Linked DNA regions of Neodiprion lecontei. The protein of the gene in region 2 purifies or fractionates together with the protein of the main gene of each other region. This does not show direct contact. Links are inferred from orthologs where the notes say so. Each region holds a gene or a part of one and is shown on either strand. Other genes may lie near its edges.

Region 1 (15,440 bases), on a different chromosome or scaffold from region 2:
CATAATAAAGAATGAAAAGAGAAAAAAATTATCGAGGAATGCTTCGAACTGAGAAAAAGAAATATTTTTAGTAATATGAAAGAATAAATTTAATGGTAATGAAAATGTAATGCAACTAAACCTAAGCGAAGGAAATATGTAAGTGTAACATTATGATCGATATATATATATATATATGCACATATATATATATGTATATATATATATATTTATATATATATAACTTTGAGCTAATATTATATTTTATCCACAAAATATAATTAGTATTCGTAACAATTTGAGTATAAGCGTAATTAAAAGAAAACCCAAATATTAGTTATTTTCAGAACAGATTACATGAGTTTTGCCGACGACGTAGAGTGAACGTATAATAATTTCGTGCGCCTAAAATGAAATATAAGATAATAAATATCAAATTTTATTTCAGAAAAAGCGCATAAAGCAATATTTAAAGTATATATGTGTACACAACATTCTTGCTAAAGCCTCAATGCCTCGATACACTTCTGAATATTATTCTGATTCATGGAGATTGGACACTGATAGACGAAATAAAATGAATGGTCTCAAAAATGAGAAGTAATACTCTATATATGAAATTCTTCTTCTATTCTTTGTACTCAAATTTTTTTGTTTTAATTTATCTAACATACGACTAGCAACGGATAAAAGTCCAGTAATGCTTGACATTTGTAAAACCCATGGTTGTGAATCAATTTGTCTTATTACCTCAAATCAGTGTATCAAATATCATCTGATACGTAGCGAATCAAAATTAATAGAAATTTTTAATACGTATATTAAAACCTTAACGTCTCTCAGTGCCAATCTGTGAACGAAATTCAAAACTTTGTAATCAAATGCAAAATGATAAACGAAAATCATATTTTTCTACAGTGTTGAAATTTATTTGTAACACTAAAATTATATGAATTTGAATAATATCTCAATACGTGATTAGGAATTATTCATGTATTAAAACCAATCAATTATGTAGAACAAAAGTGAATGAATTATACGTGCGTAAAGGTAATCGGTGAAGCAGCAATTTGAAACTTATTTTCCAGCACAGAAGTGATGAAGAGAAGCAAAATACAAAAAATAAATTTAAATAAAGATAAAAATATGAATATACAAAATCCTCGACATAGTACAAAATCTTCAACTTTTCCGATAGTGAGTGTCAACAGTAGTGCAAATGACTTACTTATGTCTTACCTACGTTTCGATCACATCTAAGTTTGCATCCTTTCAATTTGACAATAGTCAATGAAGAAGTTACACTATCGTTTTGTAAAAATCTAAAATTGATTTTATTTTGTCGAAATAATATTACAGGAAGTTGAAAGTTTCTAATGCACGAAAAATATTTGCTTGTATGTACAGTGATAAATTATTTTGAACTGGAACTTATCGTCTTAACAACCTACCTATAGGTACATGGCTAATAATGATCGTTTGCAAGCACCGCTATTTATTATGTCAGTTGTACTTTGCGTTTTATTATTACACTTTCATAGCATTCGTGTATCACTGTATCATGTACCATTTTTCTAGGGTACATAGATAGGTGTAACTATAAGTGATACACAATATATTGGTTTAGTTTTCTTTTCTGACTGATATCAAACATTTTATAAATTAATAATTAACCGTTCTGGCGCTCTCAATTTTTTTTTTTTTTGTTTTTTTTTTGTTTAGATTGCATAAACATATTAACATTAGCAAAGAAAACAATAAATAAATGAATGTAGGCCACGAAATGAAAAGAAGCGCTAACAAATTTTTAACATCTTCCAGCATTGACAGAAGTTGTTCAATAAATATCATCTTACCTACTTGAAAGCGGTGCTCGTGAGATGATGAGTAATGTGTTTCCAAAGGTAAGTAAGAGCAAAAATATCGCTTTAATTTCTTCCAAGCTAAGTAGACTGGTCGATGTTCACAGTTTTTAGCAGACCAGCTCATTCTGCAAAAAACTACCATCAACAGTGCACAATACAAGGATATTGCTGGTAGGAATTTAACTTCCTCAGATATTAAAAACCTGAACAATTCTAATCAATGAGTAGACAAATATATATAGTATATATTTTTTAATTGTATAATTGTATATAATAATGATTTATTAATTTAAATATGTTCGCTACAGTAAATAACAAACGTTAGTATATGTGAGTATTGTTTTTTAAAAACTATGAAGTTGAACCAATACAATAAATTCGTCTAGCTTCAATAATAAATATAATGTACAGATCGAATAGACAACAATGTGTGTACATGCATTTCTTTTGTATGAATAATATTATACATGATATATAGCTATACATAGAAATCGGACAGATATAGAGTTGCCGTTACTTTATTCTCTCAAACAAAGTTGTCGCATTGTTTATTTGCTATCGTAGCAAAAAGCTAATTTATTCAACATACTGATTTATCAACATAGCAAACAATTATCCGAAAGACACGTACGTATAGAAAATTTCTGGCACTTTTCTCAATAATTAACGAAATATAAAAATCACTATGCAGTGTTGCAATAATGCACCCCTTCCAGAAAAAAGGTACACGTGGCAACTCCATACTCTTATAGAGGGTTGTAAATATTACATACTAAATTTTAGTGGATAAGATACGTAATTTGATTTTTGTATCTATTATATATACATATGTGTGAGGGTGTGTGTATATATGCAAATATCATAAATAAGCATCGTTTTTTGCTAAAATATTGATATTTCATCATGGGTCCTATATTCTTTTACTAACTGCAGCATCAAGTTTATCATGCTGGAATAATTTAATACGCAGCGAATAATCATTCACACGCTATGACGGTGATCCATGATTAGCTCAATTCATACAAAGGTTATTATTATAATAATAAGTAACGCTGCCAAACCTTAAATAACAAATATTTAGTACTGGTATTTTGAAACTGTGTAACTCGATAACAATCAACACCTTTACATGCTTCCTTTAAATAGATTAACAGAAGTGTTGCGTTGAGTTTTCAAAATTTCGGAAAATTTATCTGTCACAGGTACATACTCATCTCGAAAATTTTAAATTACAACAAAGTGATCTAACAAATTAGAACAACACCTTAATTTCTACGTATTTGCATTAGCTGCATCACTTTTAGGTGTATGCTGTGTGGTAGAAAATTGTTTTCACATAATAACGCTTTGCATTGCTTGTATAAAAGCACACAGCAACCTTAATTAACAATTTTAAATACAAATAATTATGAAACTCATATTATACCAATATTTTATGATACTCATCACTATAAGTCAACACAGAAGAAGAGCATCTCATTGTTTCTCTGAGTTGGAAAAAAGTACTCACTCTCAAGTTACAATGGGTGAAAAAGAATTCTTTAGTGAATTATCGAGTACTAGGATTATAAAATTGGATTGGAACTAATCCGCATACTCGGCACCTCATTAGAATCATATTGTGCGAACAGCACAGCTTCAGAACAAAAATTAGTAACACATTATAACTATGATATATTTTACTTTGATCCCAATGACAAATTTTATTTACCACATATTGTGGGAAAAAAGATAATTTAACGTTTTTAGTTACTATGTTTTTTTTTTTCATGGTATCTTTAGTGCGTTTTGTTCGAATTCCCTGTTACTTAATTTTATCACAATCAAATATAATAAACGAGAATAATCCTATTTATTTCAAACAGTACTCAGCACCATGGTTGAATTCTTATATTACAAAAAAAAAAAATCGCAGAATAAGGGTGAAAAATCATCATCATATTGAAATAAGAAAAATCATTCAAATACAAGTCATGAATTCTAGGTAAACTATGTGACTAATGAACAAAAGCGATCTAGTCACAGCTAAGTGCGTAAAATAGAAAACGGTGGCGGTCCAGCTTGTCTCATCATCATTGCAAAATTGCTGAGTCCCTCTTCATTTGAATTCTGCGCATTTTGATTATTTTGAGAATTACTTGAGTTGCTCTTATTCCTAGTGCCGCTATGACTTTGCAGATGTTTCTTAAGATGGTCTTTTCTGTAGAATGCCTTACCACATTCTGTACAAATTTGATTTTTACTACCTGAATGAATGATCATGTGTCGAGCAAGATGTTCATTACGTTTGAAAGCCTTACAGCACATTGAGCACTGATAAGGCCTGTCTTTGTTGTGACCTTGCTTGTGTCGATCCAGATGCTCCTTGCGCTTCAAACTAGCTCCACAAATATCACAGATATGTGGCCGTTGCCTGTGATCTTCTAGATGCTCGTGCAGCGCATCTCGATTGTCAAACCTGTACGCACACTCTGGGCAATGATATACTAGCATACCTGTGGAGTAGCATTAACATTACTTTCGTGTAAAGGAAAAGAGGGGTTCTTGATGACTATTAAAAGGATAAATCACCGTTAATGTGCTGCGGCTCAACTTCAAATTCCAACTTTGGCCGAACATTTTGAAAGTTATGAGACGAGTTGTTGCTATTATCTTCATATTTAAAGACATAAGGCAAACCTAAGGTGCTTGAACATCGTGCCAAGTACTCGGAGGTCAGTCTAAAGTCGATCTGCAGTGGATCGGTCATGGTAGCAGCGTCTACTTTTTGTACGGTTTGCGTCCCAGACGATTGCTGTGTATCGTTTTGATTATTCTGCTGACAGATTTCCTTATTTCCACAGCTATTCTCGTTCCTGTTTTCATCTGTGTTCTGATTATGGGATCCCAGAGGTGGAGCATGTCCAGGATACGTGTAACCAGTCATGTTAGATTGAATATCAGTCAAATATTTCGCATTACGCGGAACATACGTCATTTTCATGTGCATCTGGATTTCCACCGTAGATCGGGCGCTGAAGACAGTCAAAAACAAGGAATGAACAAACAGGTAAAGAAATAATATTCTTAAGATAAACTTTTGATACGACATTTTATATTTATTCGTAAAAATTTTGTTTGTGAAAGTTTGTCCTCGCATTGATCGTTTCAAACTTTCTGAAAGACAGGTTTAATCGCGATTTCAAGACATGAATTTCAAGCAAAGGGTGATACGCTCAGTAATTGTGGTTAAAATTGCAAGTGTTGATAATTCTTATGTGAGAATGAACGGCCGAAAATAAATTCGTGGCCATTTTCTTATCTCGTATGTATTACGTAGAAAGATCTAGTTTTAAACGGGAGTGGAAAAATGCGTTGATATTTATTATTTGCTGCATATAGTACTTGTGAATATTTACATACCTACGTGCGTACGAAGTGAAAATATGTACATTGAAACGAGACAGGTAATTATTTAATCAGATTCGAAACTGTTGAAATTAGAACGTTTCTATCGATGAAAAAACACGCCGATATGGATAAAAATTTGCCTCGCAGTTCGCCGTACGAAATAATAATGAAATACTAGTATTTCAACTTCAACTGTACAGTGTCCACCCTTATTAGGCAGTCCTGAGCATCGTTTCAATTACAAGTTATTGAGCAGGTCAAGATACGTGCGTAGGATGTGAGCTAGACATTGATAAGGCGGTGAACGAGTACCGCGCGCGGATTATCTTTGACAGTCTATTTCTGAATGAAATGTCAAACTTTTACGGAATATTTTTAAACCTAATGTACGAGATGCCACTTACCGTTCACCCGCATTATTCCCGCGAACTTTGTGGATCTCTCGCCATTATTTGTTTGTATCACATGCGGCCATCTTATCCTATCAGCTGCTGGGGTGATGTGATTTTTCTACATACGTGATATTTACCTATCACAGTTAGCATAGAAATACTTTCATTGCCCGTTATAGTTATCCTTGTTTTGAACAGATTTTTAAACCGTCATTACGACTCGGAGAAAATTAATTCACGCTAATCGTTTAATTTTTTTTATACGTCCGCGACAAGGTTTTCATTCTTATAGGGATTTGATTTTTTTTTTCTTGATGAAAACAGCGCTGCTCAACTGACATTCGATCAGCGCGATCGTGTAATTGAAATTAAACACGCAACAGTTTCAGCGTAAGTTTTCCGATTCATTTAAATTCTTTACTTCGCATTCAGTTACGACGATTTTATCATTGAAATGTAAACCTTGATACATATTTAGAAGAATATTGCGATAGAGAAAAAATAAACTGAACAAGTTACAGGGAAATTAAAAAACCACACCAGTCAATGTTATTTTTTTAATAAATAGCTCAAGCATTGCTGAGCGACGATCGCAGATTTTTTATTTACTATGTACAGGTGAAATTGTTTACATGAAATTCTAATCTTTATTAACTTTATTTTCTACTCCCTCATCTTTAGGTTTGTCAGATTTATTATTGGCCAATACAACGTCGCCTAAGGGACTCTTTGGCTTAAATATAATGGGAATATTAGCTAAGATGTCATTCTCTTTCTGTAAAAATCTAATCCAAGATAATAGAGAGTCGCGACTAGAGGTTCCAGTCGCACAAACAGCAAATATCGTGCCATCCTCTTGCTCGTGAATCGCCGTCTCATCTTCAGTCGGTACCACAGATTTTTTTGTTTTCCAAAATGGCAATTCAATTTTACTAACGTCTGGAAAAGATCATTATTGTTAATTAGATTGGCGAAGAGAGTTTCAGGAAAAAGACAACAAATCACTTTTAGAAGAATATTTCTTACCATCGTCGTCAGGCGGTGGTAGGTCAGGTTTTGGAACAGGATCTCCCCTCAGTATGAAGTAATTAATGGTCAAGTTTTTTAACCAAAGTCTAAAAGGCCCTTCCACATATATGGGGGCTGTGGAAGCATGCTTGTTAAGCAGTTTTTTCTGACCAATACTCATTCCAGAAACAATCCAAGTATCGTCAATGGAATCTTCGAGATCTTTTGCCTGGAAGATTGTGATTTTTCGGAGCAAATCGATGCTAGTAATTCTCTCTATGGCCAGTTTGGCCAACTCGAGAGAATCATTGGGCAAAACTTCTGGCAATGGCCATGGACTCGCGTTTTTGAACTTGGGCATCCAGTACATCATTCTCCAATACTTCCTCAGCGGAAATCCCAGCTTACCGAATATGTTGAGAAGGATATCCTGCATTTCCCTGTCTGGTATAACTCCGTTGTTTTCCATCTGTTCAAGGACATCTATCGCGCATTGCTGCTGCTTTGGATAATGCATGAACTCAGCCTGTATCGTATTCTCCGGAATGAACTTCCCCTTCGGTAGTACATTGATCAAGTTTTTGTATACCTCTAGATCTTTTTCGACTCCGAATTCCTCCATGTGCTTCATTGCTGCGTAAATGAATTCGACGTGACCTCGCCTGTGAATGTCTCTGTCGACGAACATTCGCAGTACGTCTAAGTACGTTTTTTTCTCCTTACTTCTAACCTGTGCAAACCCGTAAAAACTCACCGCCTTGCTACCTTCATTTTTTTTGTTACTATTGTCTTTAGACAGATGAGCGCTGGTCACAGATATGCAACGCAAAGCTGTTGTTGGTCGGTAACTTTTCAGGTCGTGCAGTATCAACTTTTTTCTCATTCCTGGATAAACCCTGAGCAACACATACGATCTTCTTATTATCGATGTCATATTGCTACTTGGTATAATGGTTTGTTGTATTTCTCAAATTAACGGAGGCACGATCATAGTCGTAATGCTTAAATCCGCGTGCCGGTCAAACGATTTTCGTATTTTATGCAATGTGTAATTGATATTCTTTGAAAAACCTCTATGTTTAACATCCCATTCCGTAATATCGGTTACACACCGAGGTTATAAGATTGCTGAGAGGTTAGGTTATATTTTCTCAACACCGCGGCCGGCGGAGCCTCCACCGGTGGGTGATTCACCAAATTTAAATTTTGCCGCACAAAAATCGTTCGTAAAAACTCCGCACGAGTGCAGCACTGTCGGGATTTGCGATCCGTGGCTAAACAATAAGTTTGGTTGGTCCAAATTCGAAGCGTGCGTGCTGCTGGAACTAGTACATAAGTACAGCCGAAACATTGAAGTTATGAAATAAAGTGAAAATGGGACGCAAGATACCCGGAAAAAAACACAGAGGAGTGAAGGACCCGACTAAGCAACAAAAGAAGCGTTTATCAGAGTAAATATCGTTGCGTGGAGTTGTGTGATTAAATTTTGTAGGTTAAGTTGATCATCGTAACGTGTCAAATTTTAGGTTAAACAAAGTGATAAACGCGCCGCCGAGGGACAAGGATGAGCAGGCGATACCGAAGAGTCTTGAGCGCGTGATGAAGCTGAAGCAAAGCGTGAAGGACGGTAAGATGATGAAGAAAAATACCAAGAAAAAAACGAAGCTGAAAAATCAACTGATCGTGATGGGCAATCACCATCCACAGATCGCTCATCCCAAGGCAAGACCGGAGAAAGTTGTTCCTGTTTTTTCGCAAAGACCAGACGAATGTGGAAAGGCTTTTTTGAACCGAGTGAACTCGGAGACTCAGGCGTTCTTAAATGAGACTGCGTTTGAAGACAAATATGGTGTGGAAGTCAAGCGAGATCCAAGTACTGGTAATATCGAAGGATTGTCTAAGAGATCGAAGGATGAGATAGATGAATTAATGAGACTCAAATTGAAGCACAGTAATACCAAGAAGAAAAAGAAAAAGAAGAAAGACACCGAGACGACTAGGCTGACGAAAGCTCAGAAAAGGAAACACAAGCTCGAGTTGAAAAAAACTAAAAAACTGCAGGACAATATAGACGAGTTCAAGGTCTTCAAGGAGACTATTGAATTTGGAGATGTTGTCCACGCTCCTCCAGAACTAAAAATCAAACCGAAAAAAGCAGACGCTTCTCACTCCGAACGGGTAAAAACCTTACCAATATTTGATTAGTTATGCGTTGTATTTTTTTGGATTAATTTTACCGATGATTTTCCGATAGCCTGGACGAAGACGTCTTCTTCTTGATTCGCTTTTCAAGAGCCATGACAAATCTGCCGAGAACACAACAGGCGTTAAGTCTGTCAATAGATCTGGAAAACGCAAAGATCTCCCGGTTGGGGAAAGAAGACAACTGGAGGAACGACAGAAAGAAGCCATAACTGCATACAGAAACCTGAAGTCTCGGAAAGCTGCTGATTTATGACCATGGGCAATGGCCGTGTGATCAGTATTTGTACATATGAGAGCCTTAGCAGAGAATAGAAGGACGAAATGTGTGTGTAAATTGATCAGTTTATTTACGATATTTTTTTAATTACATTAGAGTATATATAATATAGAGGTTAAGTTTCACGGTATTCTACTTTGGCAGAGAAGTAGTTGGGAAAACTGTGGGAGGTTACACTTTGCTAAAATTGTCATTGATAATATTGAAACAAAATGAATAGCATTTGCTACAGTAAAACAGCGATTTAAATGGTCATAGATTGTTTTTGCTTGTTATTGATGACGATGATGAACATGAAGCAAACGGTTTCAACTAATCTAAAATAAAATAACAGTGCTGTAAAGAACAAAACAAGTAATAAGAGCCTCTTATCTTGTGAAATGCCAAGTGTTTAGATCCTTTGAAATGTCTAAACAATTGAAATATTTGACAAGCATAAATATGAGCACGATTTCTGAAAATTCATGTGCTTTAGACTATCCAAGCTTACAGTTTTATCGCAAACGAACTTCTCCTGTCCTGCAACTTATAATTTTACTCTAGAATTAAACTCATCTTTTATAGAATGCATGAAATAATTGCCACGAAACAGCTGATTACTTGATATGGTATCAAATGCTGACAGCAAATAGTTTTGAAGAAGTGTATTTGATGAAAAGGTGTTAAATCCTTATCCAGTTGTCCAAACAAATGGTTCAAGTCGATTATTAACTGGTAGGTAGTTATTGAGCTTTTCGAGGCTTTCTAAAGTATAATTAAGTTGGGTGTGGCAGTTGTCCAGTTGTTGGCTGATATGATGAATCTTATTCAGCTGTTCAGCAAACTTTGTGAATCTCTTTTGCCTGTCTATAGCCATGTTGAATATTCGTATAACTTCGACGTCGAGGGTGGTGTTGAGTGTGGACTGCTCAGTCGCAATCATTTGTGCATTTGTATTCAAGTGGTGTTGATATCGGGCGCAAAGATTGAACAAACCGATGGGATCCAGTCGCTCCAAGACTTCAGGGTCTCTGACTCCAGGTGGCAAATTCAAAGTTCCCCTCATAATGGGTAGAAACATCGGTATGCTATGCAATTTAACTAGATCAGCATCCATGTCTGCAGTCGGCTCAGAAATAGCTGGCTTGACGACTACGATGTTGTGTGCTTTGTCCGAGAGAGTTTTTCTGTGCCCAATGGCACCAATACCTGGTTTTCGCTTGGATAATTCCTGCGTTCCGAGGCTCTTTCCTCGCTGCAATTGGGCCTGTTTATTCGTCATTTTGGGTGAATCTCCTATTGGCCTGTTCACTGTGTACGATATGTAAGGCAGATCTGAATCCGAGCAAATGCTCGGTCCGGGACTCGTACATCGTGGCGGTGTGTCTTCAGGGATTCCATCTCGGTTCGGAACGCTCTTTCCACGCCGCAATTGAACCGCTCGCGCTCTGCTGCTCTCTGATCCTGGTATATCGTTGCTTTGAGAGCTCTGCTCGGATCCCATCGTTTGATTTAATAGATACTTTAATCTTCAAAGAGGCAGTTTTTCCAAATTATCCAAAGAGAGTAAAGTGAAGAGTGCCTGATAAAGGAAAGTATTGTAATAGTTCGATTCTGAGGATGCAATATGTGAGCGAATCTTAGGTTTTCTGTGTACAATCAAGGTTGCATAATAATAACCAAACAAATGAGTACCTTTGCTACTTAGAGCACGTACGTAAGTTCTGTCAGTGGAAGTTTGTCATCATGTTCTCAATTCGAAGTTCTCATATATCGATCAGTTGACGTGCGTCCGTCAGTTCATATATGACGAATAATTTTGTTTTTCAATTCACGTATTTACTTCTTTCATTGGGAATAAGCGATTTTGTGAGAGATGAATATCGTAAACATAACACAATTAGTTAACCCGTGCTATAACCGAATACTTTTTTCAGAATGACTTTTGAACTATCAAAATCATCGGGTCCGCCATCAGACGACTACACAAAATGAACCCATTGGAACCCATGTCCCGCGATGACAAAGATATGGGCTACGCCAGTGACGTCACTGATTTTAGTCACAGGCGGCACCTGCGGAGAAGAATCAAAAACATCGCGGGATTTTTTTCCGTCGGTAAGTTGGCTCACGACACGTTCGACCCTTGTTTTAGCGCGTTCTTTGAATCTGCAGCGAAATGAACACCTGTCCGTTCAATGTTTATTGTGAAATTTAACCGGATTTGTTGCGTTTACATACAGGGGATATTCTGTCTACCGTGAATTGAATTTTATTTACCCAGTGCATATATTTTCAGTCAGCGGTACGCGTTCTGCAAACGATACGGATATTACGTGTACAATGTTTTTATACCGCAAGATTCGTAATGATTGGTAACACTGTATATGTATAGGATGCACGATTGCATTATGTATGCTCAGGCATTGTGAGTGCGGGTGTTTTTATTTCGAGAATAATTCATTATTCTTCTAACCATAATCATACGATATGTGCAACCGGTAATTATCAACTGTTTCTTGGTGTAACAAACGAACGGGTTAACACGCGCGATGCGTACATAAATGGCGATGAATATGTATAATAAACAATGTGATAATCGTGGAATATCATAACGAGGACCTTATCAGAATGATGTAAACGTCTTTCAAGCGTTCTTTCGAAAACCGTCGCGCTGCAGGGTACGACTTGAATCTACGAAACAACAGGTCGCGGTGAAATGACATATTCCGCGGCAACGCAACACGCAAATCGCTAAAATATGTGATCATACCAGCGGAACGGTTCTGCGCATCTATACGTCCGTAGGTATGTACGGGACGGTAAATATTTATGGCCATGTCAAGAGGACCACGTGTATAAGCTATGTTTATAAATATATGTATATGTATATATGTTAGACGTCAAGGTATACGTAAAATGCTTGTTTCTTTGAAACAAGATTGCAAGTTCCACTCGTTTCGCAACCCATAGATCAGTCGCACTTCGCACGTATCTACATACGAAATATACATACATATCCTAGATACAAAGCGCATGAATGTATAATTTTGAAATTTACAACTTTTCCTCACGCCGCGAATCTTTTCAAATCCCGTGAGTATATGTTTATTTATTTGTATAATGTGTATATATCTACGTAAATGCGCAGGTATATACCATATACTCATCTTGTACAACAAATATAGATTTTCAAGATGTATATCTAATGCATCGGTGATGCCAACCGTTTGATTTTGCAACCGCGTCTGTTTCTTACGTCTTCTGTGTTCCGTTTTATTTCTTTTTTTTTTTTTTTTCTTTTTCTCCTCTTTTCATTATTTCTTCCACTCGGCTTCGCATGTGGCGCACGATCCCTATCTTCGTATATTTGCATACCATCTAACTCAACGCGGGCTCGAAATCTGCTCGCTCCGCGTCTCGGATCTTCGATTTGAAATCCTGATCCATGCACCGATTTTCTTCATTAATAAATCATCGAGGATGAAACTTATCATTCATCTCACAGTCTGGTACCCGAGACGACAATTCCGCTTGCTCTGAAATAGCTGAAGAAGAAGAAACAGATGCAGCAGCGACGACTTGGCGAAATGAATACCCCCATTTATTTAAAAGTCGTTATTATCATCCGGCTCTCGGGACTTCTAATAGTTCCTGGATTTCGCCAAGGTGCAGTTAGCGAGTTTCTGCATCTGAACCGCGGTCGTAACCGTTACTGGATATAATTATCATCATACTTACAGAATTTTACTGTAATAACGGTTTCCCAATAGGGTATATTTATGTTATACCGTTCGGTATTGTAATAACATTTACACGGTGCTAATGAAGACATGATTTTTCATTTTTATCTGTTATGCAGTTTGGTTCAAAAAAAAAATATAAATAAGTAAAGAAAATATTATTGTATACTGTCAGAAACAATTTTTCTACAAGTTTATTGACATGTATTATGAAATTTTACTTCAAAGCATTGAACCGGAAGTAAATTAACCTCATTCAGCTTTGAATATGAAATAATTAGGTATACAGTGACTGTACAGCTGGTGAAATATCGAATATTAATCGAACAATGATCCCTGTTTACACGTAAAGTTACGAAAGTTTTCAAGTGCCGGATACTTACATTTTTTACAAACTCTTTGATATAGTTTTTTTTTTTTTATCACTCACGCAATAGCAACGTTGCTGCAATAGGCAATGTTTAGCTCTTCATCGTTGATAATGTTATACAGGCGAATTGCGTACAAAATTACGGGTTTGTTGTAACGAGCACTGCAGTCTCTTAGTGCAAATCCCGCAGATAACTGACGATTCTTATCGACGATAATAAACACAGTTTACTCTCTATCTCGTCAAGGTGGGTGATTTTTTAAATCGTCGGATTAACGGGATTATGAATTTTATTACGATTTCCTAATTACCTAAATATTCAAACAATATTCGATCGGGCTACATCGAATTCTTTCTATTTGCCCTGTTTTGGATGTAGTAATTTTTCCTCAGTTTTTTCAATGACTAGTAATTGGGGAAAATGGGCATTCGGTTACGTCATAATTATAATTTACGACAAAGCAACCGTAGAAATGAAAAAGAAAAGAAAAACTTTTACCGTATATAGACTGCAGAGAAAATTTCGAAGACATTACTGTTTACTTGCATAATTATTTTTAAAAAATGTCACATTTGTTCATCGTAAAGTGAACTATGTTTAAACTGTCAGTAACGAATAAACTAGAATGAGTTTTGGATAGCCTAAAACTTGGTTTAGGTCGGAGAAGTTTTATCGTAAGTCTGTATAAAAATATGAAGTTTTATAAAAAATGATAAGATCGTGAGTGCAGAATCCCTGAAGAATACAACGGGAAAATCGAAGTTTAGTAGATACGAGATTCAAGATTTCGACAAACTGCGATGTACAGCATATACGAGGATAACCATCGTTGAAACTTTCTTTGAAAGTAGTGTACGAATAGAGACAAAACGACATAAATACACATAAACAGGCATAATACGTTTTGCATACATACGATATAGATACTTGTATAAAACAAAGAACAGCAGTTTTGGCGCGCAGTTTTATGGCTGTATAGCGAGGAGGCTCTTCCCTTTTTTGATGACACGTTCTGTAAAATCTACAGTTTTCCCGTCCCGTTGATATATGTAACAGTTTGTAAGCCACAACATGTTTATATAGTACGCTGTGTATATAAACGTATATATGCTATATGTATGCATGAGAGCTAGCTGAGCAATTTCAATTTAATGTCCGTCGGAGCCTCGGCGTGTCCCCGGCTTCGTTTGGGCTGCGTTTCAAAGCGATTTTTATCGCGTAAGATTGCGACTTGAAGAGAGCATCAACAACTTTGAAACGCGGCCTCAAAGACCGCGACCAGCTTCCATGGTCACCTGGTCAAAGGATCCGCCTATGAAAAATGACGACGAGTGAAAATAAAGAATAGAGTGAAAACAAATAAAAAAAAAAAAAAAAATACATAGGAGAAGAGAAAATCACGTTTAAATCATACGTGCAGCGCTCGTATGTAAGAGAATTTGACTTTAAGTGCGAAGGCACGGCTGCTTGGTATTCAGTTCCGTTTGGGCAAACAAGAAAATTTTCCTTCAAACTTAAACCAGGAAAATTCTTTTTCTTACGAACGTGGCTGCCGAGCTGCATCGTCGTACTTGTAGAAACGTGGCCACCACGTGTCGAATACTTCTTTCAATGTAATTCCGTTTCCGGTCTTAAGCGGGATGCTATGGTTCGTATTTAACGACAGAGTAGAGCGTTGCTCATTTTAACTATTATTGGAGCCCGTAATCGGCATTGATGTATCGATAGCGCAATAAGCGCAGTTGTATACGTATATTATAGCGCTGACCAAATATGTCGAATAACTTTTTTGTTTCACGCGAGAATATCTAATATTAGTGATGCGTAACACTATAAATTGGTCATATTTTACACGGTTGATAGACACTGACTTCTCTTAAGGAGTCTTGTAAATATGACACAATGAGAGACAAGTTACTGCTAATTATCAGTAACTAAGTTTATGTGCAATTGACAGAATAAATTAAAAGCGGCGATTATACTATTAGAACTTGCGTTATTGGATATCTGAAGATTAGAACTAGAAGGACGCCATCTGATGGCAGAAAATGTAGAAAAGATGATCTGTTGTTAGATGGTCGTATTTAAGCTAAACCGTTTCTTTACTCCTATTTTCTGCTTTGGCTTATTTTAAATTGATAAAAAATAGAGTCTTGGAAACTGGCATGAAATTCTTTGTGTCTTATTTTCCGTAGAAATGGTCTCTTATTAACAAACGAAAAAAAAAGTAA
Region 2 (17,259 bases):
TCTTTTTTTAAATTCTCCTCTTTGATCCTGCGGTGAATCAATCGACGCGACGGTTGTCGACGGTTGAAATACAGAAAGGAAAAGAGCGTTTCCTTTACGGGAATTAAAGGCGTTCGTTTCCCTTGCGCGATGAGAAAGGAGAATCGTCTTTCGGAATATTGTATAACACGGCGCGGTGTGACGGTGCGATAAAAGAATACCCGATACGCCCGAAACGACAGCGGAAAAGGACATTTCAAGCGCTATCACACACCGGGTAACGACGCCGGGTCGGAGATGGAACTCTGACCGCGTATCTCATTTCTCTCCTCCTTCCTTTTCCACTCTCGTTTGCCTCAATTTTCTAGCGTAGTAGAAAGACACTTGAAACGGAGAGCCAATCAGAAAGCGCACCGCGAGTGCCGACATGCAATCAGCAATTCTTCTCCTCGAAGATCAGACATATAGCGAGCAGTCCTGCGGGCATTTGATCTTCGCGCTTCTCTATTATTCCCGTTTTCCCACGTCTCCTTATTACTTCCCGCAATGCCTCGTCTCCTCTCCCTTATCACGATATCCCTCCCATCATCCCGTTTCCAACCTCTCACATCTCTTCTCTCTGCTTCCCCGTCGAGCCTGCGTTAAATCGACTCCTCGCGCGTACGGTCTCATCGGCATCTTCTCCCACCCACCCGTTCGTTCCTTAAAAAAATAACCCTCCCCTCGGAGGAATTCGAGAGGGTTTCCCTTCGCCTTGGCCAATTTATTTACACACTAGCACACCTCGTCGTCGTCGAATCTGGACTCCTTCGTCGTTCTCGGATCAATCATCGGACCCGGAACACGCCTTCGTTACGACATCGTTAACCGCCTCGCAACAGCTGCGCTTCAGAGGCTGACCGTACATTTGCTCCGACTACTGCCGATCATGACGTGGGGGGCGGCTGAGGGGGCGAAATATGAAGTGGTCGTTAGCTCGAATTGCCGGGATTGAAAGAGACCTCGCGGGCATTGAAATGGTAACGCTGGTATGAATCGGCTACACCGTTTCCACATCCAGCCACTCGATCAAAACGCGGTGCGACAGACTTTTAGTCGAAAGCTTATGACACGTTTGAAACGGGTTGAAAAATCGTTAGGAAAAATCCGCGGACCTTTTGCCTGATCGGTGTGCATAAATATACCTGTCAGGGGAAAACCATCGGAGGTAAACTTGTAGCCGCAGGTCATCGATCGATCTGTCTTTAGGTGAGAAATTAATCAAGCCAACCCGCACGCGTTTGCCGTTTCCTCCCTGGTTTCGACGAACGTTTCCGACACCCCGCATCTGCTCTACGCAAGAACATTTCTCACGGTTAACCGAGAACTTCGGACCCTCGGACAGACACTGTTGACAGATGGTAATAGCTCGGAAAATTATCGCATCAAACATTGATTCGGGCCTACTGCAGTTTCGGAATAGATGTTGCAAAGATTTCACGCAAACAACTGCTCATGTGAGAATACGACCCTGCAGGCGCAAGTGTTTGACGCTGTTTAAATTAAGTTTAAACTCACGACTGCGTTCGTTAAAATTTGCGGACTTGTTCTTGGACGGAAAAATGAAAGTGAAAGAAAAAAAAGCTGTTGTTTTATTATCATATTTTTTCCACAATTTCAAACGCACGAAACAAGTTTAACTGTACACATGTATACCCTGAGACGTGTTACTGATTATTTTTTGTCAATTGAACGCGACTCGGTTTCAATTTAAAACAAGGTCAAACGAACTGATATCGCGGTGCAGAGGTAAAGTTGTGAATTACGGTAAGACGCGAGGTGAACTTAGTCCCCGTTCAAATTATAATTGCTTCATTAACCGTGCGTCTGTCGCATCGCTCTCCCAACTCCTTGACAGAATTATAACTTGGCCTCTTTGTGGAGTGCGTATATATATATATATAAAATATCCTTGCGAGATCCACGAAGCAATGCGGCTCAATTAGGATAAAAACATAAGCCAAAGCTGAGGAGGACAGCGGAGGCTGCTGGGATATTTCCTAATCCGGTAACGTTGCGGAATCAACGTTTCTCAGGTGTGTCTCGGCTTCCTAGTCACGAAATTTCGTTCTCTCGTGTATAGAAAAACCTGGCATTCGTCCAGGCACGGATTGTGTTTATGTGCGGTGAGTATAACCCATCGAACATTACATTTCCTCCCCAGCAACGGAGATTCCGCGTCTCTCGCTCGCCGCCTTTGATATCCGTATACCGTTTTCGTCTGTTATACGTATGTACGTATACAGGTATACAGGTGCGTGTATTTTCTCACCATGGGAATACGGAGAAGGTCGATACCTGAAAGAGAGATAGAGAGAGAGAGAGAGAGAGAGAGAGAGAAATAAAAGGGATAAAAAAAAAAAAAAAAACGCGAACACCCCCTATTCAAAAGAGCCGTATTGTCCGCGGAAAACGGTTCACTTGTCGGCTACGAAACGGCCGACTGCCAACTCGAAATATCTCTTGGCAAACACTCCGGGGGTTGCGGCTTTACCTTCCGGAGCGATGGTCTCTTCTTTCTCATTCCGATCACCCGCGAAATCACCTTGCTGGGACAAAGTTTTACACCTTGTTCGACCCTCCGTTCGTTCTTTCCTATTTTTCCACGACTTTACAACGGCGGTGGAGAAATTTAGGGGAAAATGAATTCCGATTAGCGGTATTATTCAATTCAAACTGGGAAAGAGTGATTGTAACGGTGCAGTGCTTTGGATACGTGAGAGAAGGGAGAAAGTTTCTCTTCTTTGTATAAGTATAATCACTGTACATAATGGATCTCGTTAAAACCTCCGAGTTGAATTTTTACAGCAGTGCTTCCACGCGATGTCTTGTATTTCAATTTACATTTTTCTTTCAACTGATTGTGAATAATTAAATACGGTGAAGGACGAAACAAAGTGCTGAAGAAATTGTTGAACGAGTCAAACGTCGGAGAACCTTCAGACTTGTGACACGTGCGTCGTATTTGTGGAATCGAAAGCAACCAGTTCTTAACATGGCACGTTTGGACCCAAGTATTGACCCTTTTATTTTCCAAAATTATAAACTGCCGGCACGAATCGTGAATTCCTCGATAACTAAAACCAATTGCAGATTATACACTACAAATTTATTTCTTGGTAATTTTGTAACTAACGATCAAACAGATACAACCAAAAACTGTCAGTAATTGCGACAGGGTCGATAACTGGTTACACACTTACCTCACCTGTCTGAGCGCGCATAATTAAAACCGAATTCGAGACACGTTCTGCATATAATATATAATAATATGACGGCTCCGAATGCAGCGGACTTATCCCAGCTCATCTACACCCGACTCTCCCAACTTCCGGCTGTCCTATTAGCGTCAACCCCCCCATGGCATGCGGCAGCTCTTTTCTCCCATTGGCCGAATCGAAACAACTATAAACCGTAGAGAGAATTTAGAGAATTGTAACAGTCACAGCATCGCCCTCCAGGCATACACGGAACATCTCTTGTTGTACGAAAGTCAGCATTGCGCGAACGGGGATGATAATTGTTAGAATTTACCCAGCGAATTTCATCACGGCTGTATTGTTACTATTATTGTTGTTGTTACATATAAGCGTTTATGTTATTGTTAGACGTATGCTTAATACGACTGTATCACTGGCTCGATAACAAGACGAGCACTCGTCGCCTGGCGCGTGTCACGCGTATTATACAGCGAATGTCCTGATAAACCTGCAGGTTGTAATGCCGGTACCCGGAGGGAAATATTTCCGTTCCTACGTGTAGGGTGGCAAGATGGCGGGGTATCGACTCTGCGGCCTTGCAGTAGTCGTGTCACCGTTTGCACCGTTCGTAGTTTTATTTGCGGACGAAAATATTTCGTCCTGAGGTGAATTACGGACGGTAACGAAGTAAGGATAGATTGGCGAGAAAAAATCTTTTACGACCAGATGATACAGAGAGGAATGTTAATCTTGACGCGTGTCAACGATTTTCAATATCTGACTATAGCTATGATGTAATCCAGCCCCGGTGCAACGGGCCGAAACATCGATTTCAAATTTCACAAAGGACATTCCGTAGGGCACAACTTTGTTTGGTATATGCTTGTGTTGTAAGGCGTGCCTTCCTCGTTACTCATTCCGACGAAGAATTTCGCAAATCCGGACAGCTATCGTTCGCCGCGAGTATCTGGTTGCGTTGTTGCCTGAAGAGTTTTTCGCTAAGAGAACGGTAGTGGGAACGAGACAAAGAAGTAATCCAGGATAACGAGGGTCCTGGGAACATGGACGTCGTGGAGGAAACGCACACAATCCGAATCGTTAATTGGGAGAGATATGGGTTCCGCTCTTGTAACGATGGTTCGTCGTTATCCACGTTGTAAGGCGGTATCAAAACGCCGCTGCAGCGCTGTGACAAAGAGTAGTCGCTGTTTTTTTCTTTTTCATTTCATCTTTTATTCTCCAAGCATCCGCAATCGGTGATTGGTGACTTACCGCATGACAAGAGGATCGAAATGTCCCAACGGCGAATCCATATCGAATCACCATCTCAACGATTTCTCGCGCGTATTTATCAAAGTAATAAAAATCTATTTCAGGGACCCCAAGCTGAGAGCCGGAGACTTTTATAAGAAGTAGTTAATTTTCCGATAGATATGTCAGACCGCGTGCGGTATAGGTGTGAGTGTATATTACACCTATACGCGTATAACTTGTGACAAAGGTGAACCGCCTCGGTGGGTCAGCCGTCGGTATAATTAACGACGTACGTTATTGGTAATAATTAATTACTCCGTAGCTAGCCAGCTAGCTCAGTCATTGCGGCGAGAGAAGTATAATACATATAATTGTGTCGTAAATTTTGAAAAGCAACAGTCGGTGTCGAGTTCAACAAGGACGTACGGAACATTTGACGCGTTTCCATTATCAAATTAAACATCGTAAGTTTGCGTAGCCGTGATAAATTATGTAAAAGCTGATTCTATCACTGCCGAAGCAAAGTACGAATTCTGGGACTGGGACATGAGCTTGGAAGCCAATGTCCTAATCCCGGGTAGAAATTTAGTCTTGATCACATTCGGGCGTTGGACCGTCACCCTCTTGGCAGACGCAATTAGCTTAAGATAATAATCTTAAGATAACGTTTATCAAACCCAAGGTAACACGCTGTATGGTTGGCTAGTCCCAAGCTACCGTATCGTTACTTGGAGCTATTGGCTCTCTCGGATCAGGGTAACAGGTAGGTACGTAACACGCATGTAACCATGTTACATTTCCAAGATCGAACAGTAACATTATAGTCAAGTATCGGGTCTTGCGTAACATTGCAGTGATAAACAACTGGTCACAGAATTTACACCACATCTATTAAATCTGGTGTATAGGAGTAACTCACAAATGTTACATTACAGTCGTCGATATGGATGCGACGTAACCGATGTTCTTTAGTCGGTTAGAGTTACGTTACATCTGTTATATGAGAGTAATCAAGTAGTATTGCATCATGCTTATATCGATGCAACGTAACCGATATCGGGCTGCTTTGTGTGCTCATGTTGTCTGACCGAAAGGAAGGTCCTTTCAGTGTTCCTTCTTCCGGTGCTGTCATGGTAAGCTAAAATTCGGCGTGCACGGGTGAAAAAAAAACATGTAGCGCTTCACTCCTGTGTGTGAGATCATGGGCTTGTCATCCAAATTGCCGCGAACTAACGAAATGGCGGGTCTAACCGTCGGTTAAAATTGGAACAAGGTTATAATGATTCGTAAAGAAATAGTGTGATCTTCTATTATTGGTAGGACTAGTGACTATTACGGTACCTCGATCGCCCCTAAATTTTTATATTTTACTGTAATTATTAGCAAGCGATAAAGCAAACATTCGTATCAAAAGGTTCTCCGTGCAGAATCGGTAACATCAATGGAGCCGAGCCTCGGCAAGAGAAGCGAAAACAAGGGCATCTTGAATCCCGTTATCAGTTTACATTTCGCCCCCGCAATAAACTCGCAGAGAACAAAGAAGGAGCTTTAACCACCGATCAACCCTCCGGCTCGCCTCTGCGGTACGTTGTAATTTACCCCGAGCCAATTCGGAAAGCAGTTATATTTCGGCTCTGCGTATACGCCTAATGCTTCCGAATTTGTCGAAAGCCCGGTACAACGGAGTCTGATTTAAATTTTAAACGGTTCCACTCAGCGGAAGGGACGCCCGCGACCGGGACTCGAGTGAAATCGAATATTTATTCATATCATATCGCTTTTAAAAACGATGTAGGGGTAATTCGTAAATTTCCACCACTCTATTCAGTGTCGTGAACGGTGTAGAAACTTGATCGATCCGCATTTTTCACTTATAACAAAATAGTCAGGTACACAGAGCCCTGGGAAAACGGGCACCTTGATACGAACAATCATTAATTATGCAGGTGGGGTGGTACGAGACCTGAAAACTGACACTATGCAGCTGCTGTTGCCCTTCTTGCGGAGAACTGCATTATGTTAATGATGCACGGGGAGTTGTTGAACGCAACAAGACATAATCGGACGAAATGGAACCCCGATGAATATCGAAGTTCGTTTACCGCAAACTCTACTCGTATCTCAGAATGAGTACAGAATCCTTGGAGGACACGTAAGAAAAAAAAATAAAAATATACTTCGAAACATTCTGAAGTACGATAAATTACTTAACTAAACAGGCTATTCATCGCAGACTTTATTTACAATCGGCCCGGAAACGCGACAAATTTTTATAAAATTTCTTTAATTGTATCGATTAAGCAACCATACACGTTCGAGATGTCACTCGTCTTCTTTGCTTATTTTTTGGATAGTGACGGAGGTGTCACGTTACCGCTAATTGTTTACGTTTGTAAACGATCGTCTTGTCGTAGCTACAGGTAGAAATTCATGGGTATATTCATAGGACGTATACCCTTCCGACTGGTCGTGGTAATTTTGTCGTTAAATACGTGCCTAATTGCCTTATCAGTCTAGTTCTTGCGAGTCTATTATTAGGTTTGTATCTCTGACAAAGTGGCTCTACGTTATATACATTATGCAATACGGTTTGAGGGAGCTGAATCATTAATTGTACGTATTCGACTTACCCGTTGCCTGCACCAGTCTCCCGAGAATATTATCTTCGCGACACAAATCACAGATTTATCAATCCTTTATTTATTGCGTCAAAAGAAACAAGTAAAACAAATAGAAAACCAATTTTATTTCCAAAATCACCACACTGTAATTATAACTTAGCCAACTGCTACGTTCAACGAATATAATTTTTTTTTTTTTCCCCCTCCCCGTTTAACGTTAACGCGGTATATTTCTTACAACATGAATTTATAATTTAATATCGTATCGTAGATATGCGTGTACATAGAATTGTATTTTTTATTTTTTTTTTTTGTTTTTTATATAATTAAAATTATTAACTTTTTAACCATAACATATATGTATATATATTTTTTATTTTTTTTTTTTTTTTTATTTGTATTTTTCCTTATATATATAGTTTCTTTATGCTTGCTCCTTTTTTTTTTTTTCACCCCCCTCAACGACTACGCGAGAGTCTTTTTCAACTAGGATAAAATGATATGTATTATATCTCCGACTAGTGTTAGCGATCGGTCAGCGGTGTAACGGATGCATATAATCCAAGGTGCACACTTTTTCGGTTTATTTATTATTTCTATATTTTCTTTGTTTTCCTTTTTTTTTCAAATACTTCGGCTTTTCCCTAAACTAATGGAATTTCGGTTCTGTGCTCGTTGCGTCGAGTCACATTTTAGTGTGACACTGGCGTTGCGCGGTACAACCACACGGTTCGCAGCCGTTCCTCGCTCTTCGGCGCTTCGGAAACCACCCCTATCGCCCCTGTTACCTTTTCCACCCCCTGGCACACGCCGGCCGTCGCCCCCTCCACACCCCAGCCGCCGGCGGTCCTATTGACGTGCGAGTTTCTACTCCCCCGGCCCTCGCTGCCACCGACGGTCTCCCTCCTTCATCCCTGCCCCCGGCTTTCGGGGGTGGAAAAGAAGCCTGATGTAATGCCGTTACGTCACGGCGCGTCTCTGCCAGCACACCTAGCGGTACACTGAGGGAACCACGGGATTAGCATCGTGCGCCGTTTTTCACCACCATTTCCAGCTTCCGGTCTACCCGCCGATTTAAATTCCGTAAAAAAAAAAATAACTATGATTTTGAATATAATTTAAAATATCCAAGTTTCGATAAACTATACCCGTGACCAATATACAATTCAATGCCCAAGAGAATATATTCAAACGATATAACGCAATTATCGCTGAAATTAATTCCAAAATTTTTCCATGTGATGCTTCAGTTTTTTATGAAAATCATTACTTACTGATTTTTTAGTAATTTGCTGTTACTCGTGATATTGTACTGGATATATGTCAGAATTTCACCAAGTATGCTCAAGAATCATAAATAGTTAATACCATTCTTCTCGAGCCAAAGTTAGAAGGAATATAAAAGCAGTCGGTTCGGACTTAAGGTATCTATTTTCGAATCTTTATCGAAACTGAAACAAATTATTTTATTCGATTCTATTGCATAGTTTTCTAACAACAACGAATTGATCTTACCAATCTGAACTGAATTTTCTTAACTATAGCACGTGAAACGTTGCAGGAGGCTCAGTCAAGATAAGAGATATAAATGGGTGCATTTTATATGCACCTCTCCTTCCAGCCGTAATAAATCTAGCCTCTAATCTCATTGCTGTACTGTACAGCAAACTGCAGTGATGCATTTTTCATACAACTACGGTAGCTTTCAAGCTTTAAATAATCGATGTTACCGAATCGCGCCTTAACGTCTGCAACCCGTAAGCCTTGTGTGATTATTCGCTGCCTACAAAACGGCAACATCTATGTATAAAATCAACCTCTTCTTTTTGATGTTCAACCTTTCAGCATCGATTTTTCATCTTCGCTGCAGATCTGTATGCAATTCTTACGTGAATCTTAAGCTGAAACAACTTATTGAGGTCTAAGGTAACTTCTTCCCGTGACAAAATCATTAGCCAAATTTTACCGCTGGCTGATCGGCAAAAAACAAACATTCATTTTTTTTTAACCTCGGGCGGATCATCCATCGCGCATGCCCCTGACATTTTGGAGATATTTTGAACTGCTAGTTTGGCCAATGGCGTCGTCAAAATTTTGTATCTTGAGTTGTATTTTTAGGTTATGTTACATCGCACCATCCATTGACTTGCAGAGATATCGGGACCAACAATTCCCAATTCAATAGCTACAAAATGTTAAATGTCGCGGGAAGACGAATACCGTATCTGATAGGTATACATTTACCGTTTTGGCAGTATGATATACCCGATAAAACTGTACAAACTGCCAAATCATTTAACTCTGATGCGAACGAAAATGAAACCGGCTGGGATAGGTTAAGAAACATGTACAGTCTCGAGTATGTACTTGTTTTATTAATAGTAGACCTTCGTTATCCCGCTTGTTACAATCAACGCACGACACTTTCATGTGTCATTCTCAAAACTAATTTTTTCCCTTTTCAAATCGTTCTACCCTCTGTTGCCTTCAATTTGTTCTTTGTTCCTTTCTTGACATCCGCACATCGAATTGTCTTCTATCTTGTCAATCCATTAAATAATGCAGCCGTTTACGTTACAGCGAGTATGGAAACCGAAGTCCTGAAATGCACTTCGCTGTACAAGCAACATTTTTTGGAACGTTTGTTGGACTCGTATATGGAGGCTCACTGAATTCACGTATGGCGTATGTAAATTTCATGGAGAGAAATCAGGCGACAGCATTCACAAACATATTCGAGGCGAAAAGAAAATTGCAAGATACTGTTACAATCAGTTTTGCCAAGGGTGCTTATCACTGGGCATGGAGAATCGCCTTTTTCACTGGCTCTTATGTGTGAGAATCTTACGCTAAAATTTCACGCAACAAACTAATCTAGTATCTTAGAATATTTTGAGTTTCAGATTTAGCCAACTACAGTCGTCCTAAAAGTATGTTAAAATTGTAGATTACTGACAACCTCGATCGCAGTTTATCGTGGCAAGTCATCTCTTTTAGAATATGTAACTGCGGGTACTATAACTGGAGCGATGTATAAAACAATGTTGGGTCCGAGAGCAATGCTTGTTGGCGGAGCTGTGGGAGGAGTTTTCGGCGGTGTAGCTGGTGCATTGTGTTTAGCATTGTTAAAAATAAGTGGTACGACGATGGAGGAAATCCGATACTGGCAATACAATTGGAAGAAGAGCAGAGACAAGTGAGAGACGGTCACTGATTTGAACGTGCCGTTATCATTTTTCAAGTATTTTTAGCTCACTTACGTACAGTGTGTATGAATAAGTCGTTCTAATTAAAGTATTTTCTCTCATTACAGGCGAATTCAGAGTTCTATGAGTCGCGTTATCCAGCAGCCAACAGACATCGAAATGTTGCATGACAAAAAAGTGGAAAGTCTAGAGGTGCAAGAGCAAGAGGTTAAGAAAAGTAAAGCATAGTCACTCAATTTAGGTAGGTCTATTTCCATTGGTCTTGTAGATATTAGACTTTATTCGTTGTTATACATAATTATAATTTATTTTAAATTGTTCAGAGAACAATTATAATTTAATTAATAATTTCTAATAATAATATGTGGTTTTTTCTGTTTCTTTAAAGTACATTATATGTATATAACTCATGCAGACTTAATTCACTAGTACCTAAGGCAACGGCACATTTTTATGATTGCTAAAATTGTATATGAGTACGTTTAAGAAAATGGGTGTCGATCATGTGCGAATTATATTTCTTTACGTTATTTTCAACATTAGTTACACCTGTCTAACCCAATACTTGAAAAATTTGTTATATTATAACATGTTAAATTCTCAATCCTTCAAATTGATGCAATTTCCTGCAAGTGATTAAATTATGATACCTTGGATAACACAATTTTTATATAATGATTATAAAAATCGCTAATCTTATTCTCTATCACTGCAATAAACTATATACCGATTGTGCCAATAAAATACATAATCAAATTTGAGCAATTGCTGAAAAATGTCTACTGATCCCTCTAATCGAATAATTTGAATGTAAAATTCTGATCTACAGCAGCATGCATGTTCACAATGAAACGAAAATATTCTTGATAGAACACTGGTCATAATTCGCAAACATTGAGAGATATTCCTAATTCGATATTTTATGAGCCCTATTCTGCAGGCAAGTATTAATACTGAAAATTTCCATGCTCAATACTAAACATAAGTTCTGATGGAAATTCGAGGCAGCTGTTTATTGCATAGTTTTGAAGTTAGCAAAGTCGTTACCGTGTATGCAATAAATACTACATATGCTCACAGAATAGGCCTGATAATCAACGACATATACGATATGCAAATTAGAAATGTATAGAAAAAAAAAGTTCTTGTCTAGTCAACTTCATTCGATCAATATTTCATTGTACACTATAAAACGAAAACCGAATTTTCCCATTTGGATGAATAATAAACGAGAAATGTACTAGAAGTGAATAAAAGCACTGAATTTGACAGTCAAAATTAAGCAAAGAGTAATGTTGCGGAATAAATAGTAATAAAGCGTTGGGCAGTTTACTAAAATCTTACAGCCTGCTTGAATTTGTTATTGTCCTAATTGTATAATTCATCAGAGTTTTATATTAAGTTTCTTGTTCTGCAGTTTCTGGAGTTTGAATCTTGGTCAAACGTTTAGCACCTCTGTTTGGCGGACCTTTGGGTTTGGCAAACTTAGGTCGGTGCAAATTGACTTTCGGATGTAATTCCTCTTGCAAAAATTCCATGGTTAGTTCCTTTCCGTCATCAATCTCAAGCTACAGACCGAAAAATTTTGCATAAACAGAATTAAATTTCTACAATTTTCAGTAACAAGAAATAGAGATACTTGGACGTTTCAAGCTCAAATTATCATCCAAATGTTACGATTGGATATAAATAATTTACAATAAAAAATCATGGTATACCAATGTCAGGCCTATACTGTAAGCTTATAAAATATAATTACTAAATATTAAACGCTATTACGTACCCGTACGATGATGTTATCACCCTGGCATTCATTCCCACCTATTGAATTTTATTTGTCTATTTTCATTTACAATATACGTATATAGCAAAATAAAATTATTGAAAGAACTGTGGATTACAGTAAGATATTGACAAAAGCAAGAAATATTCTTTTTAAATTGTATAATTGTGTTTATTATTCATAATATATTTAATATTGGCAAGAATATACAATTTATTTGTTCATAAGAAGGAACCTATAATGTTTTTAACAAAATTTTCTTTATAAATAATCAATCAATACAATGAACGCATCTTACAGAATAGGCCTGGCCTGGAACAGTGGTACTTATAAACATAATTTGCGCCTGGGCGAACGTGTGCGTCTCCCCCTTATGCATATATCGGAACACAATTTCAAATTTTGAGCGTCGTATAGAAAACCATTGGGCCCGAAAAAATTTTAGTATAGTTCTATCATACAAAACTTAGATGATCACGATTTTTCCACAAAAACAGCCCATGTAAATTTGTGATATGAATAATACCGTAAATCGTTTCTGTTATTCATATTTATATGGTTTACTATTCAGATAGAAAAAAAATATACAGGAAATATCATATTCGGAAATTCGATGAATTCAATCAATCGCCATTGTATTTCTACATTGAGCGTTGAGACATATACTTGCAAAAAGTTATTTCAACAGTGGCGGGGGATCTGGGGGGGGGGGGGGGGCAATTTCTCAAGATAGTTTGTGACTACGATAGGATTACGAATTCACAATTATTTTTTCTATCAAAGGTAGATAAAAATGCAAAAAAAGTGACCACGTAAATTTGCATACTTTCAATTTCATGTTTCTTTTCTTTTTTAACAAGTCCCAGATCATAAGTTAAAATCCAAAGATTTCTAAAACGCTTATAAAAAGCTACAAGAGTTAAAAAATACACGTCACGAAAAATATAATGCCTCTCGAATATCATCATCTTGTTGTTGCCTATCTGACAACTCTCCCACTCTGTATAACTGTGTAAATTTTGATCAATATTATGCTAACTTTATACATAGATATAACAATTTTGGCAAATTCGAATCACGATTGATCAGTTTCGCTGATTGTATCGTTAATCATAGAACATTTAATCTCCAATTTCGTTTTATATTCCTTTGATATCATGTCTGGGGAAATATTTATCGTGTAGTAATGTATACTTGTATCAGTGATAAAAAAAAGCTTTGTGCAACAAGATTGGGCAATGATTCTTACAGGCAATGATACAGATATATCACTCTTAACCATTGGACATCAACCCAAAGTGCTTGGAAAGTCAAGAGATAAGATGTATCTATTAATATCGTGTAACTAATAAGAAATAATTCTTCGATAATAACTCAAGATTTCAAAGAAACATATGATTTTAAACTGTATTTAAATCAGCTGCGTCAATATTTTGCATAGCAATAAATACATTCAGTAGATATTCGTATTTAGTTTTAAAAAAAAAATTGGTAAAAATTGTTGGGTAAGGAAATAAGAATCAAGTCATCTGATTTCGTTTGGTAAAAACAAGATAGGTACATCAAATCCATTATTTCTCGGCTCTAATATTAGATTTTTCGAAAATCTCAACCGCTAAAAAAATAATCCATGATGTTTGATCCAAATTTTAGAAAATTAAATTACCGTTCAAAAACAACATAGTTATTCATAAAATGGCTTTGTCGATTTAAAGAAAAAATCCAGATTAAATAAGATACGAATGTTTGAGATAGAATTTTGAAACAATCAGTTGATTCGCATCATAAGGATTGTTTGGTTCTTACTCCGCACTCAAGGCTCACAGATATACAGCAAGTGGGATGTGCTGCGTTCAGTCTTACGTCGTATATATATTTGTGAATTTTAATATGTCATATTATTTATATATAATATAATAGTATAGAGTATAATATATATAACGCAATATGTATATATATATATAATATATATTATATACATATATATTGTTATCGTCACTATTAAAATGCAAATAACTCGATAATGTGGAATGAATATAGCTCAACTCTGACGTTAAACAATAACATTTGCACATTTTTTATCATTTGTCAACACAATGTTATCATTAGAATATGCAGAGCAGTCAGGTTAGTGGCGTTAGCTAGCTAGAGCACATGGAATTCTTTCCTAACTCTCTAATAATCACATTCAGCTATATGTGGCTTGCTGAAAATACTAAATTATAACAATACCGTCCTACACCGCTTAAATTCTATTTAGTGTCGACATTGACGTTTGGAATTAAGGCCCTTAAGTTTCATCTAAAGACATTAATAGACAACTTATATGTACGTATCACTTGATTTGAGACTAGGAACTAATTTGAGACAAGGTATATTATATACTGGGTTTTTATACATTAAACAACTATGTGCGAGTAATTGCTTTGTTGCTCTTCTTTCTCATTGTTACGTGTTAAAACTCGCAAACGGCAAAGATCGCGACAGATCTATCAGTTTCAACCATTCTGAATTAATTTGAGTAATCAATAAACGTATTCGTTAGTGCAAGCTACCTGAGAAATAAACTTTATTTTATTTGTCATCACTATAATATAATATTTTTATTGATTAAATATTTTTTATATATAGTTTTTTGATTCTGGTTATGTATGCACGACTTTTCCAATAAGGTAAAAATCCTCCAGTTAATGCATTAACTCAAATCTGGCACGTGACAATTTCATTATTATTATATTCAATAAACCTAAGGGCTAAAATTCGGCAAGTGACAAAGCGCCAAGCTGCTATCGAGTCTACAATGCGACTTCATATGTAAAGTGTACTAACATTAATATATAGGTACGAAAATAATGTACTAGTAAAATATTTTTGATGCGAACTTGTCATAAAAACCCAGCAGTAAGGGCCTATTTTCCAAACTGTTTGAGACGTATAATTTGTTGCGATGAAAGTTGATAATAATCTCCCTCCAAAAAACAAACGAATAAAAAAATGATACATCATACTCGTTCAAAACAAATCTAAATAGTTATTAGATATATTTTCTGTACGTAATATTCTTTTCTTTTTTTTTTTCTCTCTCTGTACCAGAGATATATAGTATATACGAATTACTTAGACAAGAATTTGGCTTACCAATTTTGGTATTAGAATTTAGAAAAATACACCATTTGGTCTACTCTAATTTACTAAATAGATGCATGTTATCACTTTGAACAACTAATTCTAATAATCCAGAGATGTTGGTATCAGTAAATGCGTTTACTTTTAGAATGTTTTCAAATTTCAATTCAATCTACACAATAACATGTAGAAAATTTTATAAAAACAATATTTCCTAACTTGGAAAATCAAAATTTGTGGTGTAATCAGCATGCGTTGTTCTTGTGGTTGTTGTTATTCCTAACAAATTTGAGGTTGACGTAGTTTATCGATAATAGTTTTAACTGCAAATTTAATGTTTCCAAGTGGAAATCATATCACCTCCCTTTGCAATGTCAGAACCGTTTTTGAAGCAGCAAATATTAATTGGAGAACCTGTTAACTCAAGACGCACGAGCGTTTTGGTTTAGATTTTTTATCAGGTATAGTTTGTGGAGGGGCAGAAGGTGTTGACGGAGTGGCAGGAGTTGTTGCTGCAGTTTCTTTTATGGTAGGAGGATCTTCCAACATGTCCGCTAACTCTTCGCCGCTATTTACTTCCAACTGTGATTCGTTATATACAAATATCCAATCAATTTCAACGATTTCTCCTTTTAAATTTTCATATATTTGCATAACTAAGTAGAGTCGGCACAAACTAATTTCTCCGAGTCCAATAAATTCCCTGCACTGTCACAGTTTAAATGAATTTCATTACTTTCCAATAATTAATTCCAAAATTTACGCGTCATCCGTTATGTGATCACAAGCAAGTGTGAAAATTAGTAAGCAAGCCCACTTTTGGAAAATGGAAATTGCTGCTATACTTTTCTCAATGGTACTTTATAAGTTTCTATATGTACTTTACAAATTACACAACTCGAAACAATGTAATGCCAACATCTGGCTAATATGTAATTTGCACAATTTTTTCCTGTTGATTTCCTTTCATTTTTTTACAAAAGTGTGCAACAGTGGTCTCTTTTTCAGATTATCTGTTCTGTACAAAAGCTGGAGATTATTGAAATTCAATTTCCAGGAATTTCAGTCACCCAAGATAAAAATACATGTTCTCGTCGAGCATTGCCCTGTTATATACCCACAAAGCTGCGACCCTGAAAGCGTTTGAATAGAGTAACTTAATTTGGCTCACCTTTTTGATTATGTTGACTCCCAACGATTGAATAAGATCTAGAAGGGGTCCCTTGCACGAAGAGTACAGCATTCGTTCTTTGATGCTGCAACTGTACCCGGGCATGCTGTATATGAAAACTGGAAGATATAAAGTACAAGATTGTAAAAAAAAAACTGTTATTGCAGAAATACAGTGTAAATGATCTCCTTTCATCAAGTAATACCAAACACGTGAGCCAATAGTTCATAAAGGGCAGAATGCATACCGATATTCTCCATGTAATCACCCTCGTGAGTGTGTTTGAAGTTGTATAAATGATATCTGGCAGAATCAGCTGGCACTTTAGTTGGCAGTTTATCTAATGAGACATCACAGGCCATGACCAAATGTATCTTCTCCTCTTCTAGGTCGATTTTCAGCTGAACATACTCGGTAATTCCTTTACCAATGTCGTTAATGGCCTGCTTGGCTTCTTCCGTAACAGGAAAAGCGACACCGCTCAAAGTCTGCTGTCTTGTTTCAACACTGTAATCAGTGTGTACAGAAGTTTTCTTGATCTCAGCCAGCTCCTCTTCAGCTGTTGTCAGGGGCGCGGGAGCAGCGTCGTTCCTTTTGTGCTTATGGTATCCTTCTAGCGTAATGTCCTCAGGGACTGTGCCATGCAATTCTTCCTTGAAGGAAGCCGTTCCAAATTCCTGCTTGAGCGTAGCCTTCGTTGAGGCGTAAAGCATCTTTTGCCTTATAGACGCAGTGTCGGGTGACCAAGAAATGAACAACCAGTCATAGCCGGAGTCAGGCGATTTTGTATCAAGCCGATAAAGGATGTAGGTTGGCTGGTTTTCGACAATCAACGGTTTTATCAGCTTGTCGTAGTCGTCCTGCCATTTCCCGACAGCCT

Evidence for each region.
Region 1: the proteins of RPII140-upstream gene protein (region 2) and evolutionarily conserved signaling intermediate in Toll pathway, mitochondrial purify together in Homo sapiens (affinity purification with mass spectrometry; 3 studies listed by BioGRID and IntAct, counting the BioPlex papers as one, with this or other methods). This does not show direct contact. The link is inferred for Neodiprion lecontei from reciprocal best matches to the Homo sapiens genes TIMMDC1 and ECSIT.

What each region holds. Positions count from the first base shown.
Region 1 is NC_060261.1:8,882,515-8,897,954, forward strand, and holds evolutionarily conserved signaling intermediate in Toll pathway, mitochondrial, read right to left. Parts: upstream 7,779-15,440; 5' UTR 7,569-7,778; coding exon 6,653-7,568; intron 6,566-6,652; coding exon 6,267-6,565; 3' UTR 6,261-6,266; coding exon of another isoform or gene 6,235-6,260; 3' UTR 6,176-6,234; downstream 1-6,175. Other genes in the region: zinc finger protein 343, read right to left, coding at 3,870-4,339, 4,416-4,833; coiled-coil domain-containing protein 137, read left to right, coding at 8,009-8,085, 8,161-8,812, 8,889-9,092; BLOC-1-related complex subunit 5, read right to left, coding at 9,787-10,599.
Region 2 is NC_060263.1:36,263,960-36,281,218, forward strand, and holds RPII140-upstream gene protein, read left to right. Parts: upstream 1-9,174; 5' UTR 9,175-9,285; coding exon 9,286-9,452; intron 9,453-9,673; coding exon 9,674-9,928; intron 9,929-10,040; coding exon 10,041-10,289; intron 10,290-10,406; coding exon 10,407-10,527; 3' UTR 10,528-11,696; coding exon of another isoform or gene 11,697-11,867; 3' UTR 11,868-12,506; downstream 12,507-17,259. Other genes in the region: twinfilin, read right to left, coding at 11,697-11,867, 16,380-16,498, 16,627-17,259.